Daphnia pulex: one gene and its partner. The protein of the gene in region 1 purifies or fractionates together with the protein of each later gene. This does not show direct contact. Links are inferred from orthologs where the notes say so. Each region holds a gene or a part of one and is shown on either strand. Other genes may lie near its edges.

Region 1 (4,530 bases):
CCGGAAAAGTAACCCCCGCAAGCTTTTCAACCAATTCGCCCACGGAGAAAGAAAGAAAAATTGCGCGGAATAACGATGGCGCAAATTTGATTCAATTTGAAAATCGTTTTCAACAAAAAATCATTGATTAATCAGTTTTGTTTTGAGTAGAATTTTTTCTACATACTTTGTTGAATTTTAAAAGAATTACTCTTACTTGCATGTAACAAAAAAAGCATTTTCTACATTTAACTACTTGAATTGTTATTGACAGTTTTGATTTGAAAATCTCATCTTATTACACAAGCAAAAGTAAGAATAGCTTTCAAAATTTTTTTCAGCCAGTAAAAACTGCTAATCTTTTAAGTTTCCAACTTCCAAACAACGATAAGGATTAAGGAAGCAAAATAATAAAATATACACCAGCAGACAGAAAATGTTTTCCTCTGAACAAAACTTGCAAACAATCTTGCAGGTTTTCTCATTTAATTTTTTCCGATATCTGTTAATTTAGAAATCGATTAATTGATCGTTTGCTAACATCATCAAAGCCTTTTATTTAAAACAATTAATTATATTGTGTTGAAACGTTCATAGATATTTCATGGTTCGTGCATTGTGCGCACTGGTAGTTCTGACACCTGTCACTACTCACCTGTGATAAAAATAATTAAACCAGATGGTTTGAGTTTGACTGCTGGAAGTCCATCTTGCACCACACAGCCTACCATCATCTTAAAATCGTCACACCCTTTGCGACTCATAATTACTACATAAAGTTCATTTACGATTAAAATGTTGGGAGTTGGTTAATGGCAATAAATAACAACAATTGGAGGTCAATTACGCAACGTTGATATGACACACCTTCATTCCTTGATCTCTACAAGGGAATTGGGTTCGGCAACCTAGGCCATTGACATAGAGGAAACCCAACAGAGGAACTCGGTGTGTGTAAACCTGTGTCTAATGCCGCACTGCAGCATTCGACGTTGGGGCCTAAATTCAAGGAAAATATCTGTTTCGATATAAATACGAACAAGTTTCCTGGAAGCCTGGAAGGAAAGAATGATAATTTCTTAGTCAAAATCTCGTTATGAGTCACACGCCATAGGTGAAATTCAGTAAAAACCTTAATGTGAATTCCACAAGATAAAATTGCTCTTGGAGAACTCAATGTCAAGCTTCTGTTTACTTCAAGGCTTTAAAGGGCATTCCTATCTGTCACCTGAATTAAATTGTTTTGCCTGAAGCTGAAGAATTAAAAAAAAAATCTTCTTTATTTTTTTTCTGTACAAAATTTATAACAACAAGAATTTTGTTGTACAGGTTTACAAACTTTATAACTCGTTGTAATCTTATCGACTGAGTGAACAAAAGATTTCTGAAGAAGAAAAACCACGTGGGGTTTACCAGACGTGAGGCTTTCTAGACGTTTCTCGAATCTCGACTCGCTATTACAAAGGCAAAAGGTGAACTATGATTTCACCGTTTCTTACAAGCAAGAATGCATTATTTACGAAAAAAGCAATAATGCAGAAAAAACTGAAACATTTCATTACATGATATTATTAGTCAAAATTAGTAAGCATGTGTCAACTGGTTGGTAATATGATAATCCCAGACCAACTCATACAAACAGATGCATTAGACAGCAGATGGGACTTGAATTGACGGTTAAAAACGGTTACGAACACCGAATCAACGATCCGTCAAAACACATGGTCGGTAGACTCGGTGTCGATTTTTTGGAAAACATTTTAAATAATTCAAAAAATATCAGTAGCCACTCAAAATTCAAATTCCACCAATACTTGAGAAATATACAGAATTTGTGTGAATTTAAAAATTAAAAATAAGGTAAATTGAATGAGTTTGTGTGTAATTGTTTGAAAGCGGCAACACCAAGACTTCCTTCGGTAAGGAACATTCTCGATTTTTCGAGAGAATTCGAACCCCCTCCTCCCCTATGGTTTGTTCTAGTAGCTTCCACTACTACAACGTTGGATTCCCCGGGTCCCTCTTTGATATAAGGCCTCCCTCGTGTTCGACTCTTCACAGTCTTCAACCGGCGATTGAGCGAAAAACATCGCATCTCCACACGGGAAAAACTCTCCACGAGACCATTCTTGCAAACAATCTTGTGTTCTTGTTTAATTATCTTCTAAAGCAAAGTAAGTTTAAAAAATAATTGCTCATTTACTCATTTTTTGATATGCCGCTAGTACAAAAATATTTTGAATTTGAATTATTGAGTCTAATGTACCACGATTGACAAACGTTTCTAACTTAAATATATTTGTCTGTGTTTAGATGCCTGAAGAAGTTCAAATGGAAGCCGAAGCCGAGACTTTCGCATTCCAGGCCGAGATTGCTCAGCTTATGAGCTTGATCATCAACACCTTCTACTCAAACAAAGAAATCTTCTTGCGTGAGTTGATCTCCAACTCCTCAGATGCCCTAGACAAGATCCGTTATGAATCCCTGACTGACCCTAGCAAGTTGGACAGCGGCAAGGATCTTGAAATCAAGATTGTCCCCAACAAGAATGACCGTACCCTCACTCTCAGTGATACGTAAGTTTAGAAGTCAAGTTTTTCTGATTAGAGCAATTATTTAACTGTACTGTGTCTTCTTTAGTGGTATCGGCATGACCAAGGCTGATTTGGTTAACAACTTGGGTACCATTGCCAAGTCTGGAACCAAAGCTTTCATGGAAGCCCTCTCTGCCGGAGCTGACATCTCCATGATTGGCCAGTTTGGTGTGGGTTTCTACTCTGCATACCTGGTTGCCGACAAGGTGACAGTTCACTCCAAGCACAATGATGATGAGCAGTACGTTTGGGAATCGTCAGCTGGTGGTTCTTTCACCATCAAGCCTGATCACGGAGAACCCATGGGTAGAGGAACCAAGATTGTCCTCCACTTGAAGGTATGTTTCTTTGTCTTCGCTGGCTTAATTTCCTGTATGCTAATATTTGTTTTTTCTTTAATTTGCAGGAAGATCAAATGGATTACCTGGAGGAGAAGAAAGTCAAGGAGGTTGTCAAGAAGCACTCGCAGTTCATTGGCTACCCAATCAAGCTTTTGGTCGAGAAGGAGCGCGACAAGGAAGTGAGCGACGATGAGGCTGAGGAGGAAGAAAAGAAGGACGAGAATGAGGAGAAACCAAAGGTCGAAGATGTTGGTGAGGATGAAGAAGCCGACAAGGAAACAGACAAGAAGAAGAAGAAGACCATCAAGGAGAAATACTCTGTCGATGAGGAGCTCAACAAAACCAAGCCCATCTGGACTCGCAATCCCGATGACATCAGCCAGGAAGAATATGGAGAGTTCTACAAGTCATTGACCAATGACTGGGAGGATCATCTTGCTGTCAAGCATTTCTCCATTGAAGGCCAGCTTGAGTTCCGCGCTCTCCTCTTCGTCCCACGTCGTGCACCTTTCGATCTGTTTGAGAACCGCAAACAGAAGAACCACATCAAGTTGTACGTCCGCCGTGTCTTCATCATGGACAACTGCGAGGAGCTCATCCCCGAGTACCTCAACTTCATGAAGGGAGTCGTCGACTCTGAGGATCTTCCCCTCAACATTTCTCGTGAAATGCTCCAACAAAACAAGATCTTGAAGGTAATTTATTCTATTTCTTTTGTCAACATCGTTAACTGAAACTAATTATTACTTTTCTCTACTTCAGGTCATTCGCAAGAACTTGGTCAAGAAATGCATGGAACTTTTCGAGGAGTTGGCCGAGGACAAGGAGAACTTCAAGAAATTCTACGAACAATTCAGCAAGAACTTGAAGTTGGGAGTTCATGAAGATTCTACCAACCGTAAGAAGATCGCTGACCTCATCCGTTACCACACTTCCGCCTCTGGAGAGGACCAGGTTTCCTTCAAGGAATACGTTTCCCGCATGAAGGAGAACCAGAAGCACATTTACTACATCACTGGCGAGAACAGAGATCAAGTCAGCAACTCTTCCTTCGTCGAGCTTGTCAAGAAGCGCGGATTGGAGGTCATCTTCATGACTGAGCCCATTGATGAATACGTCGTCCAGCAGCTCAAGGAATACGATGGCAAGCAGCTCGTCTCCGTCACCAAGGAGGGTCTGGAACTCCCCGAAGATGATGAAGAAACCAAGAAACGCGAGAGCGACAAGGCCAAATTCGAAGGTCTCTGCAAAATCATGAAGGACATCTTGGACAAGAAGGTCGAGAAGGTCGTCATTTCCAACCGTTTGGTCGAGTCTCCCTGCTGTATCGTCACCTCCCAGTACGGCTGGACAGCCAACATGGAGCGTATCATGAAGGCCCAGGCTTTGAGGGATACCTCCACCATGGGTTATATGGCCGCCAAGAAGCACCTGGAAATAAACCCCGATCACCCCATCATCGAAGCCCTTCGCGTCAAAGCAGAGGCTGACAAGAACGACAAAGCCGTCAAGGATTTGGTCATGTTGCTGTTTGAAACCTCTCTGCTGTCATCTGGTTTCTCCCTGGAAGAGCCCGCCGTCCACGCTTCTCGCATCTACCGCATGATCAAATTGGG
Region 2 (4,035 bases), on another chromosome or scaffold:
TGTTGGTCTCCACCGGGCCCGGCGCGTAATTGAGCACTCGGACGTCAGGTTCCTCCTTGGCTAAAACCTGTCTAGACGGATGGGGCCCCAGTCAAATAGGCGGGCAAAAAAGGATCGATACTAATCGGATTTATTATACCTTGAAAAACATGTCCCGTCCAGCTTTGCCGGTGCAGTAGAGCGACAGCGACGAAAACGGTTCCACTCCGCAGAGGGAGGACATGTTGACGACCGTTTTGCGCTGCTGGACTGGGCTGGAGGCGAAGCGGCGCAAGAAAATCGCATTGAGAACGACGACGGAAGCCAAATTGAGCTGAAAGTATTGGACGCACGAGTTCACCGAGACCAGATCGGTGCAACGCTTGGTAGCGTCGCCCAGCGATCCGGCATTGTGGACGCACAATGCGTGGGCAAAGGACTCGGCCGATTCACCAGCCAAAGCAGATGAGACGACACCATTCAAAGCCGACTCGTCACAGCTGGATAAGTCAGTCACGCCGACATGAACTCGCACTGACGGTCGATCGGTTTCGATGGCCTTCTGTAACGAATCCAAATCTTTTTCGTCACGGGAAATCAGCAAAAGGACAGAGTCCGCGCCCATTTGTTTCGATATTTTCTCAGCCAGAGTCCTCCCTATGCCACGACTGGCACCAGTCACTATGGCAAAGGTTTTCTGATTCCAGTAACACGACTCATCCATTCTTCTTCTATTCATATGATGGTTACTCTTGCTGGTTGTTAGTCTCTGGTGTGTCTTCCTCAGGAGTATTTTCTTGCAACTGATCTGCCTTTAAGAGATGGACCAGCTCTCCAGTTGTCACTGCTTGCAAGTGAGGTGCTACGTGCCGAATCACTGTGCCAGACAGAGACTCCTCGACAGGACAATCAAAATTTTCAATTTCACCCAAGCCTTGCAACTGAGAAAACTGTGAATTCAATAAACGGTCAATGTGGCCCTCACGAGCTCCTGCCAGAGACAGCAGCAAATCTCTTTTCTCAGCCCCACTGTTTGATGAAGGGGTTTTCCGTAATTTGCACAACTTCTTTTCTGAAAGGGAAATCACATGTAACCCAAAAGAACAAACAAAATATACATGTGGATCACATACCTAAATTCTCCAAATAAGTAGAAGAGTCGGGTAATGGCTGGAAAGATTCGTTGGAAGAATCGACTTTATTGTCTTTGGAATCAGCTGATGGACAAAAGTTATTGTCAAAGTGCAGGTGAAATTCGTTCGGTTCAACAGATGAGGTGATATTTCCATCAACAGTGCTTTCCCAAGGGTCATCCATTCAGCACAGTCTGAATGGGAGATAATCGGGACGTTGATAAATTATAGAAACACAAATTCGTGTTAACCGTCAACTAAACAAAAGAAACATTTACCGATAGGTATTCTACCGCCGAAAGAAACGTGTCACCCACACCCCGATAAGATGGCGCTGTCCTCTCAGGGTAATCGAGAAAACTTTAGAAATAAACCGGTTTTCACTGTTATTAAGATGTATATATTTAGAAAATTATATTTTGTATAAAATAATTAATTATTTAAATACACATCGGATTATTTATTCACATTTTAAAATTCATTCAACAAATAGCAGACGAAATCTAGTTGTTACGTCAATTGAAAGATGGCACTCGACTTTTCGAGCATGTTTTAGAACTTTCTGGTTAAAATACTAGTAGATCCTTACCGATCCTTTATCCTTGTTTCTCTGCTCGCACTCGAGTGCAGATCATACAGTCCTGTCGTAATTGTAGTGCCAGTTGAAGTTCGCTTGTGTTTTCCTAATTGGAATAACGATGGCCAAGTGGGGCGAAGGAGATCCACGGTGGATCGTCGAAGAGAGGCCAGATGCCACTAATGTGAATAACTGGCACTGGTAAGTATATCTACCGGAACCTGCTTATACGACGGCAATTTACTAATTATACCATTGTTTACAGGACAGAGAAGAATGCATCCCAATGGTCTAAAGATAAGATTGATGAACTCTTAAATGGCCTGGAAATAAATGACATAATTGGTAACATTCATTACAATATGTTAAGACTCGAAAGTTTTACATCCGACGTTTTATATGTTTTAGGTAACTGTGTTATAACTGAAATAGAGAAGATGGAAGGAGAAGCCTCTGCTAACAATCGCAAGGCTAAACTCATTTTTTTCTTTGAATGGACCCTCCATCTCAAGTGGAGTGTAATGAATGATGAAAGGCATACAGTAGTACTCCCATATTCATAACTATCATCTTATTACAGGGGAAAGTGAGTGGTACCACTAAAAATATAGAAGGCACCGTCATCATCCCCAATTTGAGTGACGAAAACAATGCCGATGAGGTTGATGTCAACGTCACAACATCTGCTACAGGCCCTGATGCAGATGCCATGAAGCAGTTGATGCGAACTGTAGGGGCCAAAGTGATCAGAGAACAACTTGCAAAGTACATTAAAAGTTTAAAAGAAGGTTAATAACAATATATTTGTGTTTTTGTATGAAAGTTGATGTATCGTTAATGCTGATTCTTGTTTTGTTTCCCCTTTGTTGTTTCATCAGATTTTACCCAAGGTATGATTTTACCGAAAAAGGATACAGAAGTCAAAAATGGCGACAAGACCCAAGTTACCAAGGATCCCGGTGTGAAACTGCCATCTTCTGTTAGTACTCCCGATTTGAAACAATTGCAGATTGGAGTAAAGGTTGAAATGCAATCGTATACGTGCAACCAGAATTTCAAATGCCCACCAGTTGAATTGTACAACGTCCTAACGCAACCCGAATTGATGCGAGCATTTACCTGCGCCTCGGTGCAGGTCAATCCTTCGGTCGGAGGCAAATTCAATCTCTTTGAAGGCAACATAACCGGGACCTTTGTTGAACTGGTAAGTTATTCTACTTTGAAATGTGAAATGGTGCAATCGTCAATAATCTTTTCCATAGTTGCCCAACAAGAAAATTGTCCAGAAATGGAGATTTAGAACCTGGCCAGAAGGTCATCATTCGACGGTGACTATAGAACTGAAAGATGAAGGAGACTCTACGAAGTTGTCGTTGAGTCAGAGTGGAATTCCCTCTACGTAAGAAATTGAGTTTTATAATTGATGCATTCAAGTTTATATTTGAAATTTTTCTTTATTTAAAACAGCGAATTCGACAAAACTGTCGAGGGATGGCAAAGATACTATTGGGAAGCGATCAAACGAACTTTTGGTTTCGGCGCATTTCTTCTTTGATCACCGGCCAGACAAAATGACATACCTCTCCTATCGCTCTCACAAAAATCCTTTTGTCGCCTGTATTTGAGCTATTTACACTTGTCTGCTGTCATGATTAGTTCAATTCAACAATTTCTTTTTTTTTTCGGTTTTCCTTCTCTGGATCAAAGTTTGGTTACGTAATCTTGGAAGAAAATGAACGGAACCAATTCCTGATGAAACCAAATCCTCAATTATTTTTATTTACTTTCCATAATTGAAGGTGGCGCGCAAGCTGCTGTTGGGGGAAGAGGTGGGTGTAGTACAGCTCGGCGCACCGTACAGCCACGAATATTTACATCCATATAAAAATCCATTCAAATTATTACAGTCAAGAAACTGAAAGTGGGAAAGAAAACAGCCAATTAGAAACGGGTTGACCTGTTGGAAAATTATCACAGCACATTGAAAGTTTCACATCAATAGAGAGACAGAATAATAATTATATAATCGATCATATATTATATTATATGTAGTAGAAACACAAAAGGAAGGAAAGAAACGCTCACAACGCCAAAGCGATTATTATTATTTTTTTGGGGGGAGTATTTTTTCGAAATATTTAAAAGTTGAAACACGCACACACAAGTCACAAATGTTTACATGTCGAGCCTTTTGTCAAAATAATAATTCATTAGAAGAAATTGTGTTTCTTTGGTTAGCCTTTTCCAAAGGAGGGAGGATTCTCCTGGGTAGAGAGAGACGTGACTAGAGTCGAGTGTGAATGGGTAATTATTTTATATATATAATTATTACCAATTTTGGCTTTT

The links.
Region 2: the proteins of heat shock protein 83 (region 1) and activator of 90 kDa heat shock protein ATPase homolog 1-like fractionate together in Caenorhabditis elegans (co-fractionation; 3 studies listed by BioGRID, with this or other methods). This does not show direct contact. The link is inferred for Daphnia pulex from reciprocal best matches to the Caenorhabditis elegans genes hsp-90 and ahsa-1.

Annotation. Positions count from the first base shown.
Region 1 is NC_060026.1:16,238,391-16,242,920, forward strand, and holds the start of heat shock protein 83, read left to right. Parts: upstream 1-1,640; 5' UTR 1,641-2,153; intron 2,154-2,292; coding exon 2,293-2,555; intron 2,556-2,619; coding exon 2,620-2,911; intron 2,912-2,979; coding exon 2,980-3,609; intron 3,610-3,676; coding exon 3,677-4,530. UniProt on the Caenorhabditis elegans protein: Molecular chaperone that promotes the maturation, structural maintenance and proper regulation of specific target proteins involved for instance in cell cycle control and signal transduction. Undergoes a functional cycle that is linked to its ATPase activity.
Region 2 is NC_060018.1:236,937-240,971, reverse strand, and holds activator of 90 kDa heat shock protein ATPase homolog 1-like, read left to right. Parts: upstream 1-1,631; 5' UTR 1,632-1,810; coding exon 1,811-1,890; intron 1,891-1,954; coding exon 1,955-2,034; intron 2,035-2,097; coding exon 2,098-2,207; intron 2,208-2,269; coding exon 2,270-2,477; intron 2,478-2,567; coding exon 2,568-2,893; intron 2,894-2,951; coding exon 2,952-3,088; intron 3,089-3,156; coding exon 3,157-3,244; 3' UTR 3,245-3,447; downstream 3,448-4,035. Other genes in the region: sepiapterin reductase-like, read right to left, coding at 1-67, 140-604; uncharacterized protein LOC124188718, read right to left, coding at 726-1,051, 1,113-1,296.